Canis lupus familiaris: one gene and its partners. The protein of the gene in region 2 purifies or fractionates together with the protein of the main gene of each other region. This does not show direct contact. Links are inferred from orthologs where the notes say so. Each region holds a gene or a part of one and is shown on either strand. Other genes may lie near its edges. The genes, in order: CNNM4, PTP4A2 and CNNM2.

Evidence for each region.
Region 1: the proteins of PTP4A2 (region 2) and CNNM4 purify together in Homo sapiens (affinity purification with mass spectrometry; 6 studies listed by BioGRID and IntAct, counting the BioPlex papers as one, with this or other methods). This does not show direct contact. The link is inferred for Canis lupus familiaris from reciprocal best matches to the Homo sapiens genes PTP4A2 and CNNM4.
Region 3: the proteins of PTP4A2 (region 2) and CNNM2 purify together in Homo sapiens (affinity purification with mass spectrometry; 4 studies listed by BioGRID and IntAct, counting the BioPlex papers as one, with this or other methods). This does not show direct contact. The link is inferred for Canis lupus familiaris from reciprocal best matches to the Homo sapiens genes PTP4A2 and CNNM2.

What each region holds. Positions count from the first base shown.
Region 1 is NC_049231.1:46,251,512-46,255,811, reverse strand, and holds the start of CNNM4 (metal transporter CNNM4), read left to right. Parts: upstream 1-1,459; coding exon 1,460-2,861; intron 2,862-4,300. UniProt on the Homo sapiens protein: Probable metal transporter. The interaction with the metal ion chaperone COX11 suggests that it may play a role in sensory neuron functions. May play a role in biomineralization and retinal function.
Region 2 is NC_049223.1:68,628,764-68,632,360, reverse strand, and holds part of PTP4A2 (protein tyrosine phosphatase type IVA 2), read right to left. Parts: intron 2,451-3,597; coding exon 2,320-2,450; intron 1-2,319.
Region 3 is NC_049249.1:15,555,606-15,559,955, forward strand, and holds the start of CNNM2 (metal transporter CNNM2), read left to right. Parts: upstream 1-1,534; coding exon 1,535-3,155; intron 3,156-4,350.

The DNA of each region.
Region 1 (4,300 bases), on a different chromosome or scaffold from region 2:
TGGCTGGGCAGTCCCCACCACAATTTGGGGTTAGGGGTTTGGTCCTCCTGGTGGGCAGGCATAAACAACACCAGCTGTGTAGAACATTTAGAGTTGTCCTGTCGTGTTCAAGGCCTAGGCCAGTTGTTCCTATAAGCTTAGTGAGATGGTGCCCTATTATTGTTCTTATCCCCATTTTATAGACAGAAACTGGGGCTGACACTCCATCGTGCCTTCCCAGTCTCACAAGCCTGTTAAGACAGCAATGTGGAGGGACCCCACTTTGTTATTTGTTATTTGTTGTGTGTGTGTGTGTGTGTGTTTTAAGATTATTGATTTATTTGTGAGAGACACACACAGAGAGAGGCAGACACAGGCAGAGAGAGAAGCAAACTTCCTGCGGGGAACCTGATGCGGGATTCGATCCCAGGACCCCGGATCACGACCTGAGCCGAAGGCAGGTCTAGATTCAATTTCCTCATCTGTTATATGGACAGATAACACTAACTCTTAGTGTTGTTCCAAGGATTAAATCAATATTTTGCATGTGTTTACCTGCTTATGGTCTGTTTTTTGCTCTAGACCGTGAAAATCATGCAGGGACTTTGGCTTATTCACGGCTGTATATGGTTAGAGTCTGGAACAAGAGCCGGGCACATAGTAGGTGCTCAGTATTTGTGTCCTGAATGGAAATGACATGAGGATAGCCGAGGCCAGACCCTGGCCCTATTACCCGCGAGAACGTTCTGTTCTACATCCTTAGTTCCCTGGACTGTTCCAACCGGGCAGCCAATGGCCAAAGGGTGCGGGGCCTGGGGGCTGGGGCCGAGGGGACCTACTTCTGGCCTTGGGTCAAGGTCAGCAAAACTCCCAGGAGTGCGGAGGCCATTTCTGCCTGAAAAGTCTCCGAGGACGCAGTCTGCAATGCCTGAGCCCTCAGGTTCCCCTTTCCTTTTTTTTTTTTTTAAATAATAGAAAAAGCATTTTTGTTGCCCGAGCCACCGCGGAGCGGAGGTTGCTGCGGAGAAGGGCCACCCTGGCCCGAGCACCAGTCTCTGGGAAGGAGCCGAGCCCGCGAGGCCCGGCCGGACCGCAGGGACGCCCGGCGAGGCCAGGCAGGAGGCCCGGCGGAGGCGAGCGGGCGGCGCGGCCGCGGGCGGGCGGGAAGGCTGGCGGGGAGGGCGCGCGGGCGGGGGGGAGGGGCGAGGGGCGAGCGCCGCCCCCGCCGCCGCGCCCGCCGCCGCGCCACCTTAAGCTCGGGACCCCCTTAAGGGCGGGCGCGGAGCCGCGCGCCCGGAGGCGGGGCCTCCCATGCAAATGAGGGGCGTGGGTCGGCGGGGCGGGGCGGGCGGGGCGCTGACCTGACGTCAGGCCGGCGGCCGGGGCAGTTGGCTCGGCGGCGGCGAAGCGGCAGGAGCGGCGGCGGGAGCGGGGCCGCGCGGCGGGGCGCGGGGAGCGGCGGCGGCCGACCCGGAGCAACATGGCGCCGGTGGGCGGGGGCGGGCTCCCGGGCGGCGGGCCGGCCCGAGGGCGCCTCCTCCTGGCGGCGCTGCTGCTGCCGGTGCTGATGTGGGCGCGGGGGGCCCGGGGCCAGGGCGACCCCCAGCGGGGCGCGATCCTGGGCATGAGGCTGGCGAGCTGCAACAAAACGTGTGGGATGAACCCAGATGGCATCATCTTCGTGTCCGAGGGCAGCACGGTGAACCTGAGGCTCTATGGCCAGAGGCTGGGCTCCATCTCCAGCAACCTGATCTCCTTCACCGAGGTGGACAACTCCGAGGCCGTCCACAACTCCACCAACTGTCCCGAGCTCACCAAGGACCTGGTGGTCCAGCAGCTGGTCAACCTGAGCCGCGGGAACACGTCCGGGATGCTGGTGGTGCTCACCAAGTTCCTCCGGAGGAGCGAGAACATGAAGCTGTATGCATTGTGCACCCGGGCAGGGGTGGACGGGCCCTGGCAGAGGTGGACCGATAAGGACTCGCTGCTCTTCATGGTGGAGGAGGGTGGGAGGGTCCTGCCCCTCTGGCTGCACATCCTCCTCATTATGGTGCTGCTGGTGCTGTCGGGCATATTTTCTGGCCTCAACCTGGGGCTTATGGCCCTGGACCCCATGGAGCTTCGCATCGTGCAGAACTGTGGCACCCAGAAGGAGAGGCGCTATGCCCGAAAGATCGAGCCCATCCGGCGCAAGGGCAACTACTTACTCTGCTCCCTGCTTCTGGGAAACGTGCTGGTCAACACCTCCCTCACCATCCTTCTAGACAACCTCATAGGATCTGGGCTCATGGCGGTGGCCTCCTCCACTATTGGCATTGTCATCTTTGGGGAGATCGTACCTCAGGCCTTGTGCTCCCGACACGGCCTGGCTGTGGGTGCCAACACTATCATTCTCACCAAATTCTTTATGCTCCTCACCTTCCCCCTCAGTTTCCCCATCAGCAAGCTACTGGATTTTGTTTTGGGCCAGGAGATTCGCACCGTTTACAATCGGGAGAAGCTGATGGAGATGTTGAAGGTGACAGAGCCCTATAATGACCTGGTGAAAGAGGAGCTAAATATGATCCAGGGTGCCCTGGAGCTACGGACCAAAACCGTGGAGGATATCATGACCCAGCTCCAAGACTGCTTCATGATCCGCAGCGATGCCATCCTGGACTTCAATACGATGTCGGAGATTATGGAGAGCGGCTACACCCGCATTCCCGTGTTCGAGGACGAGCAGTCCAATATTGTAGATATTCTCTATGTCAAAGACTTGGCCTTTGTGGACCCCGATGACTGCACCCCCCTCAAGACCATCACCCGCTTCTATAATCACCCAGTACATTTCGTCTTCCATGACACCAAGTTGGATGCCATGCTGGAGGAATTCAAGAAGGGTAAGGCCTGGTGAAGTTCTGCCCGTTAACTGGCTTTGTGACGCCTCTTGTTCGTTCGCTTGCCTGTTTTGTGTCTGCTGGTCCTAGTGTTTTTGTGTGTGACTGCCCATCACTTCCTGTGCCTCTGAGGTGAACGGTATTTGGGGCGGCAGGAACGGTTCCTAAGCATCTGCCGTCTGCCAGGTACTGTGCTTTGTACTCTAGGTGAATCAGAGCCCAGACAACACTTGTGCACTTGGAGGGATAGAGCAAGGCCTCAGGAGCTATGAAGCAGGACAGAGTAAGGCTGATGCCTTAAGAGAGGCCATGGAGATTAGAGTGTGGGCCCCCACATCTGATTGGGGTGAGGTGTGGAAGGGGCTGGGGACCTGGGAAAACCTTCCTAGGGGAGGCAGCATCTGAGGAGAGCCTGAAGATGTGGGGAGACTTGGTCCCTGAGACAAGAGGACCCCTACAAGGAGCCAAGCACCTGAGTGGGGAAGCAAAGGCTGTGCCTGTGGCCCAGCAGGTGGTCCTGTTGAGCTGGGTTTGAGCTCTGCTGTTCAGTGGTCAGTGGGGAGAGGCTGATGTCAGGGTGGAGAGTTTGCTCAGAGCTAGGAGCTGTCGGAAGTTTTCGAGCAAGAGTGATGTTCCTGGGGCTTCTCACCCACAGAAGCTGGATTGGGAGATCTCTGGGTTCCCCACTCAGAACAGTGCCAAGTAATGCTTTCGACTATTCAGCAGAAGCAAGCAGATCAAGTTTTGGTTACTGTTCTGTCTTTTCCCAGGCGCCAAACATAAGCTTCCCTCCTGTGGTCTGCTGGAAATCTTCAGCTGGCCGTGCAGTGCCTTGTGTTTTTTCTCACATGGGTTCTTGGCCAGTTCTCAGGTAGTTAGAAAGGCACTTGGAGGTTTTACTCATCAGCCTCAAAGCTCAGGGCACACACCCCTTTCCTTACGTCCAACAAAACTTTCCTCCCACCTCTGCCACTCAGAAGTCCTCAGTGGCAGTAAACAAGCCAATTATGGAGTGAAACCCTCCTAGGCCAAAGGGAGTGAGGAGGCAGAAAGGGAAGCTCTTTATAAAGGAATGGGGGAGGGGAGGGAGCACATCTTAAATCCAGGACTTTGCTTCCCTTCCCCATAGGTAGAGCTCCTGCTGGCTAAGGCAGCCTGCCAGCCTAGGGCTGGGAGCAGCTTCTGCGCTCCAGTGGGGAACAGGCCTCAGATGCTTGTCGGTCGATTATTTCATGAGGTGGGGAGAGAGCCTGGAACTGGATGGGTCCCTGGTGAGGGGGTGGGATAGGTAGGAGCTGGCCTTGCCAGGTTTGCTCTGATCAGGGCCAGAGTGGGAGATTAGTCCCCTCCCTTTTTCAGAGGGACAGACTGATTTCAGAATCTCTTCAGACAGAATGAACCTCAGCATCAGAGCTGAGAAGGATTTGAGTAACATAAGTCCA
Region 2 (3,597 bases):
ACCGCTGAGCCACTGGGTGCTGCCCAAGCACTAAATTCTATACCTTCATTAAGAGATCTTTATTCTTGGCGTGCCTGGTTGGCTCAGTCAGTTAAGGGTCTGACTCTTGATGTCAGCTCAGGTCATGATCTCAGCATCGGGAGACTGAGCCCTGTATGGGGCTCCATACTGGGCATGAAGCCTGCTTAAGATTCTCTCTATCCTTTCCCTATTCCCTCCCCTGTGCATGCACACTCTCTCTCTCTCTCTCTCTCTCTAAAAAACAGATCTTTATTCTTTAAACATCATGACATTATCTGAATGTTCATATTCTATGTTATCAAAAATTCTTCATTGGTCTTTAACCAACATTGCAGAAAAAAAAAAAGAAGATTTGGGATCCCTGGGTGGCGCAGCGGTTTGGCGCCTGCCTTTGGCCTAGGGCGCGATCCTGGAGACCCGGGATCGAATCCCACGTCGGGCTCCCGGTGCATGGAGCCTGCTTCTCCCTCTGCCTGTGTCTCTGCCTCTCTCTCTCTCTCTCTCTATCATAAATTAAAAAAAAAAAAAAAAGAAAGAAAATTTGAAAAAAAAAAAAAAAAGAAAAAGAAAATTTGACCAAACGTGTCATCTGTATTGAGTATCTCAAAAACTTTATTACAGGGACACCTGGCTCAGTGGTTGAGCATCTGCCTTCAGCTGGGGTCGTGATCCCGTGGTCCTGGGATCGAGTCCCGTATCGGGCTCCCTGCATGGAGCCTGCTTCTACCCCTGCCTCCGTCTCTGCTTCTCTCTCTGTGTGTCTCTCATAAATAAATAAATAAAATCTTTAAAATAAAATTTCAGCACAAAACCTTTTTATTATCTTTTCCTCATCAAATACTAAAAAGGCACTAGATTTCTTCAACAAAATCCTTTCTATGAGCTAAGAGAATTGATAATTAGAACAGTTCTCTATAAAAGTATGTTTTTAGGGTTATGGTTTTTTTTTTACATCTAACAAGGGGACACTGAGGCCTGAGCAGGTCTCAAACTGTCCATGGTTTGGGGAATGCCCTCTGCTTCATGAACCAAAAAATAGAGGGTTTGTCTTCTGGGAAGACAAAGCTGTCTTCTCCTTTGAAAAAGCCTCCAACATAGTTGAATTTGGAGTCTTCCAGGAATATGAAGGCAGGGATTGAAGCCTCATGAGTCTGGATTTTCAGCTGGGGTAGAGAAAGAAGACAATGGTTATAAACAGCAAGTCCAGGTGAGGTATAGTTAAACTCCAGGACTTGTCACTGTTAATCCAGCCTGGGTTTCAGGACAGTCACAGAAGTAGATTCCTTAACAATAAAATACTACTACACACATAGACAAAAATCTAGCAAGGGAAATGACTTTTAAAAAAAATTTCATTAGAGAGAAAGGCAGAGACATAGGCAGAGGGAGAAGCAGGCTCCCTGAGGAGCCTGATGCTGCACTTGATCTCAAGACCCCAGGATCTCAACCACTGAGCTGCCCTGGTGCCCCTGGGAAATGACACTGTAAAACATCTACTACATGGTACCAACTTTAGACTACCTGCTAGGATAGTCACCAGTTTTAAAACTGCCCAAGTTAGGACACTATCTTCACCCTTCAGAATAAGGACTGGAACTTCTGGCCCTGAAGAAGAAATTATACAACACTAAACTGCAAAAAAAGGGGGGAAAAGAGCAAAGAACAGACCTGAGCAGAGATAATAACCTGAGTCACCACCACCTGGAGGCAAGAGCACCCTGCACTACTGTTCTGAGTCAAAGTGCACATCATAAATTAGCATTTAATCTGTTGTTGATGAGACTGTAGCAACACCGTTCCATGCAATGCTCAAGGAAAAAGGCTTTAAAATCAAAGTTAATTTTTGTTCTCCATACATCTCCTTTCAGAAGTTTAAAGTTCGGCCATCGGCTCTCCACCTATTAACTTCCTGTTCATCTCAATCCAAAATTAACCACACAGTTTCTTCAGAAATTTAAAATTATTTTTTGTTGCTCATCTCAAAGACCTAAGCCCCTCTGAATATGTGAAATGAGGGGGAAAAAATCCATACTGAATTAAGACCAATTTTTAGCTCAAAAAAAAAATTTTTTTTAGCTCAAATATAAGATAATTACATTAAATCAGTTTCAAAACAATTTCTGAGCCATCATCCACTAAATCTATCATGGGCATCAAACTCTTAAGAAACCATTGCACCAACTTTAGCTCTCATTTCCTTTTCTTTTAGGCAATTTAATATTTGGTGTAATAAATACAAACGTCTATCAGAGTGAAATTTTTGATAATGAATTCACAGACAAAAATGTAAGAGCTTACCTTCCCAATCCTGCAACACAATGCACTGCAACACAGCAACCTGGCTCTTCACGAAATTTGGTTTTTAACAAGTTTAGCCAATCGTCTACTATCTGATTAGGGGGTGGCGCTCCATCATCAAATGGCCAATCCTGGAAAGAAAAGATGTTTTACATTAAGTTGTTATTTTCTCCAGGATAAAATCTACTGCAGAATACCTGCAATAGAACACATCTAACTTTTAACTAACTGTACTTTATATACCTATCCAGTTTTTTTTTTTTTAGAAGGTGAGTGCAGGGGATGGGGCAGGGGGTGTGGATCTTAAGCAGGCTCCACTCCCAGCACAGAGCTAGACTCGGAGCTCAATCTCACAACCTTGAGATGATGACCTGAGCCAAAATCAAGAGCTGGACACTTAACACTGACCCACCCAGGTGCCCCTATATACCTATCCTAAATAATACAATTCTGATCACTGCTGAAAAGTTTTTTCCAAGATCAAAATTCAAGTGTGCCAAGTAACTTAGCCTTCTCAATCACATGTAGCCAGCATTGTAAGCATCTAATTTTATCTTATGGAAATCTCTTATCAGAGTGGTAAGAAACTAGGGTCTTCAAATAATTTATCTGAATAAAGCAATAATTAGACATAATAGAGAAAACTATACTTAAAGCCTAGACAAAGTAAGAGAGAATACAACACCTATCAATATAATTTAAAAGTCCACTGTGGCAAAGAAGTATACCAACTGGGACGCCTGAGCGGCTCAGTGGTTGAGCATTTGCCTTTGGCTCAGGGTGTGATCCTGGGGTGCCAGAATTGAGTCCCACATCAGGCTCCCTACATGGAGCCTGCTTCTCCCTCTGCCTGTGTCTCTGCCATTCTCTGTGTCTCTCATGAATAAAGTCTTTAAAAAAAAAAAAAAAGTACACCAACTAGTATCTCACTGATCTCTACAAATATTTTGAGGATTATCCCCCAAATAGCTCTAAGTTATGATGCCTTTTCTTATTTATTTATTTATTTATTTATTTATTTATTTATTTATTTATTTATTTATTTATTTATTTATGATAGTCACAGAGAGAGAGAGAGAGAGAGAGAGAGAGAGAGAGGCAGAGACACAGGCAGAGGGAGAAGCAGGCTCCATGCACTGGGAGCCTGACGTGGGATTCGATCCCGGGTCTCCAGGATCGCGCCCTGGGCCAAAGGCAGGCGCCAAACCGCTGCGCCACCCAGGGATCCCCTGATGCCTTTTCTTTAAAGAAAGATTCTCTCATAAGAAATCTCCAGCA
Region 3 (4,350 bases), on a different chromosome or scaffold from region 2:
TTGTTGTTGCTGTGTTGTGCAAGTTCTTTTTATGTTTTGGGTACTAAACCCTTATAAGATATGTGATTTGCAAGTATTTTCTTCCATTGAACAAGTTGTCTTCTTGTTTTGTTGGTTTCCTTCAAGTTTTTAGTTTGTTGTAGTCTCATTTGTTTATTTTCGCTTTTGTTTACCTTGCCTTTGGAGTCAGATCCACAATTTAAAAAAAAATCACTAAAACCAATGTCAGAGAGCTTGCTACCTTTTCTTGTCAGAATTTCATGGTTTCAGATCTTAGATTCAAGTCTTTAATTCATTTTGAGTCAATTTTTATACGTGGTGTAAGATGGCATTTAGTTTCATTCATTTGTATGTAACTGTTCAGTCTTCCCAACACCATTCATTGAAGAGACTGTCCTTTCCTCTTGGCTCCTTTTCCTAAATTAACCATATATGTATGGGTCTACTTCTGGGCTCTCTGTTCCATCGCATTGATCCGTATGCCTTTTTCATGCCAATACCGTATTGTTTTGATGACTATAGCTTTGTGGTATAGTGAGGGGATTCCTGACTTGGAAGGTGGGGAAACTGCTTCACTGTAACCTTCTCACCTCTCCCGCAAAGCTTTTGGGGTTTGCAGACCTGGAAAGCATTGCAGGGTGCCAACGTAACCGGCAGGTGGCGCCACGCGACCGCAAGCTGCGGCGTGAGAGCATCCCGTTGGGAGAAGTGAGAAGCTCCAGAAGAGGCAGGTCGCTAGGTGTGGGGCCACCCAGTCGCCGCTAATCCCGGGCGGAGCGGCGCCGACGGGTAGAGGAGGGTGGCGCAGCAGGTGTCCCGGCCTTTCAGGCAAACGCGCTGCTTGAGCCCTCCCCAGTCGGCTTCCCGGGTTCCTGGGGCAGCCTCCGTCGCAGGAACATTGAGCACTGCGGCAGCCGGCAACGCGGTGCCGCGAAAACCGACCGTCCAGGGCCCCAGGACATTAGCCCAGCACTGCCTACCCAGGCGCGGGGAGCTACTACCGAGGCCCCTCGGGGAGCACCAGGCCCGCAGACGGCCCCCTCTCATTGGTAGCCCGACTGCAGGCCCCGCCCCCTCTCGTACAGCTCTCGTCCGTGAGTGGCTCTCGGGCCCCAGCTGGCCACACCTCCTCCCCTCGCACATACACAAGAGTCACGCGCCTTTCAGTAGGAAACTTGGCGTGCCGAGGGGGACGGTGGCTTTCATCGCCCCACCCACCTGCCTTGCCATTGGCCCGCGGCTCCGCTCGTGACCACGCCCCCATTCCAGCCCCCTGGCTGGGAGGGCGGGCACCCGCGCGTGATTGGCTGGTCCGCCTGCCTCTCGCGGGAGCGGCTGGCGCTTCACCCTCCCTTTTCCCCCTCCCGCGAGTCTCCAGGTTCCTCAGCTGGCAGAGGCCGGGTCAGTGTCAGTCAGGGAGCCGGACCGCCGGACCGTGTGTGCGGACGCTCCGCTGCAGTCTCGCCCAGGGGCCGGTGGCTGCGCTCGCGCCGCCGGGTGGGAAGGATGAAGCCGCAGCTGGAGCAGCCACCCTATGATTGGCTGTGGCGCTTGTGAACCCGAAGTAAAGATGGCGGGCGGGCAGGCAGCCGCCGCACTGCCCACTTGGAAGATGGCGGCGCGCCGCAGCCTCAGCGCCCGCGGCCGGGGGGTCCTGCAGGCGGCGGCGGGGCGGCTGCTGCCGCTGCTACTGCTGAGCTGCTGCTGCGGCGCGGGCGGCTGCGCAGCAGCGGGCGAGAACGAGGAGACGGTGATCATCGGGTTGCGGCTGGAGGACACGAACGACGTGTCTTTCATGGAAGGGGGGGCGCTGCGGGTGAGCGAGCGGACCCGGGTCAAGCTGCGGGTGTACGGGCAGAACATCAACAACGAGACGTGGTCCCGCATCGCCTTCACCGAGCACGAGCGGCGGCCTCACAGCCCGGGCGAGCGCGGGCTGGGGGGCCCCGCGCCGCCCGAGCCGGACAGCGGCCCCCAGCGCTGCGGCATCCGCACCTCCGATATCATCATCTTGCCCCACATCATTCTCAACCGCCGCACATCGGGCATCATTGAGATCGAGATCAAACCGCTGCGCAAGATGGAGAAAAGCAAGTCCTATTACCTGTGCACATCGCTCTCCACGCCCGCCCTGGGCGCCGGCGGCCCGGGGTCCGCGGGCGGCGCCGTCGGGGGCAAGGGCGGCTCGGGAGTGGCCGGGCTCCCGCCGCCCCCGTGGGCCGAGACCACCTGGATTTACCACGACGGCGAGGACACCAAGATGATCGTGGGCGAGGAGAAGAAGTTCCTGCTGCCCTTCTGGCTGCAGGTGATCTTCATTTCGCTGCTCCTGTGCCTGTCGGGCATGTTCAGCGGCCTCAACCTGGGGCTGATGGCCCTGGACCCGATGGAGCTGCGCATCGTGCAGAACTGCGGCACCGAGAAGGAGAAGAATTACGCCAAACGCATCGAGCCGGTGCGCAGGCAGGGCAACTACCTGCTGTGTTCGCTGCTGCTGGGCAACGTGCTGGTCAACACCACGCTCACCATCCTGCTCGACGACATCGCCGGCTCAGGCCTCGTGGCGGTGGTGGTCTCCACCATCGGCATCGTCATCTTCGGGGAAATCGTGCCCCAGGCCATCTGCTCCCGTCACGGCCTGGCTGTCGGGGCCAACACCATCTTCCTCACCAAGTTTTTCATGATGATGACCTTCCCCGCTTCTTACCCGGTGAGCAAGCTGCTGGACTGCGTCCTGGGCCAGGAGATAGGCACTGTCTATAACCGGGAAAAACTGCTGGAGATGCTCCGGGTCACCGACCCCTACAACGACCTCGTTAAGGAGGAGCTGAACATCATCCAAGGAGCGCTGGAGCTCCGCACCAAGACAGTGGAGGACGTGATGACTCCGCTCCGGGACTGCTTCATGATCACGGGCGAAGCCATTCTGGACTTCAACACCATGTCGGAGATCATGGAGAGCGGCTACACCCGTATTCCGGTATTTGAGGGGGAGCGCTCCAACATCGTGGACCTTCTCTTTGTCAAAGACTTGGCCTTCGTGGATCCAGATGACTGTACTCCCCTGAAAACCATCACTAAATTTTATAACCACCCCTTGCACTTTGTTTTCAATGACACCAAGTTGGACGCTATGCTGGAAGAATTTAAGAAAGGTGGGAAATTTTGGTATCTTTCATTGGCTTGCTCTCTCTCTCTCTCCATCCTCCTCCCTACTTGAGCCCTCTACCCTCAGATCAACCCCCCAAGGCGAGTTGACCGGAATTTCTCCTGTCTCTTAATTGCAAAGTTGAAAGGGTGGCATGGATTTGGGGGATGGATTGAACTAGAAGGCGCTTCTAGGTTTTCTAAAAGCACGAGACTAACGTCACTCGCTTTTTCGCATTTCAAAAAGCAGGCTTTCTATTTTCTGTGCATGATACTGCTGGCCCTCTGGTCCTGAGGGGTCTGCTGCATACCATTGCCCCAGTTCTGAGTGGGTAAGGTGCAAGTCGGGGCCAGCTAATGCCATGCTGTGCCATCTGGTTGACATGTACTAATCTCAGGCGTTTGGAAAAACATTGAGATAGTTTCTCTAAACTCAGTACAATCCTCTTCTTCCTCCTTAACCATTCACTGACATTTCAGAGATTGGAAGTGCATTTTCGGTAGCTCTGTTCCTGGTTGTCAGGCCACCTGTGGGGCAGATTGGGCTCTGCCTTTTGAGGATAGAGGATGGGTTAAGCCAATATCACCAAAAAGATTTATGCATTTGGGTGTGACTTGCCTTAGCTAGAAAAGAGGGTTTTGTTTTGTTTTGTTTTTTTTCAAAGTAGAGTTATTAATATATAACTTGGAAAGACTAGAGGTGAGTTAACCTTTTATTAGGCTATCTTGTCTAGCTTTCTTCACTATTTGTTTATATTTACTTGACAAATAAATTTCCCAAACCAAGTGTGATTTTGGCAGAAATCTTGAACATTTAACAATGGGATGACGCCCTCTATTGTGGTTTATTTATCGCTAGAGTTTTTCTGGTTTATAAGTGTTCTTCTTGACCTTGATCGCTTGGTATGTTAAGTTGAAGTGTGTCTTCAAGTCAGTTCTCAATGTTCTGGGGAGTTTTAATAGGGAAGCTACCTGCAGAGTCTGATGTGCTCACCTTTCCCCGCATGGTGGTTATTTTTTGTTTGTTTTACCGTGTAATGAACAGGCAAATAGCAACTCATGCTATTATTAACTGAAATTCTGTCTTTAAAAAAAGTTTCCAGTAAATAGTTAGTGTTGCTATTTGAAAACCATGGGCGGCCGAGCTGTTTAATTGCTGTGGTGCTAGTGTAGGTATTAAAATATGTATGTGACCTTTAATGA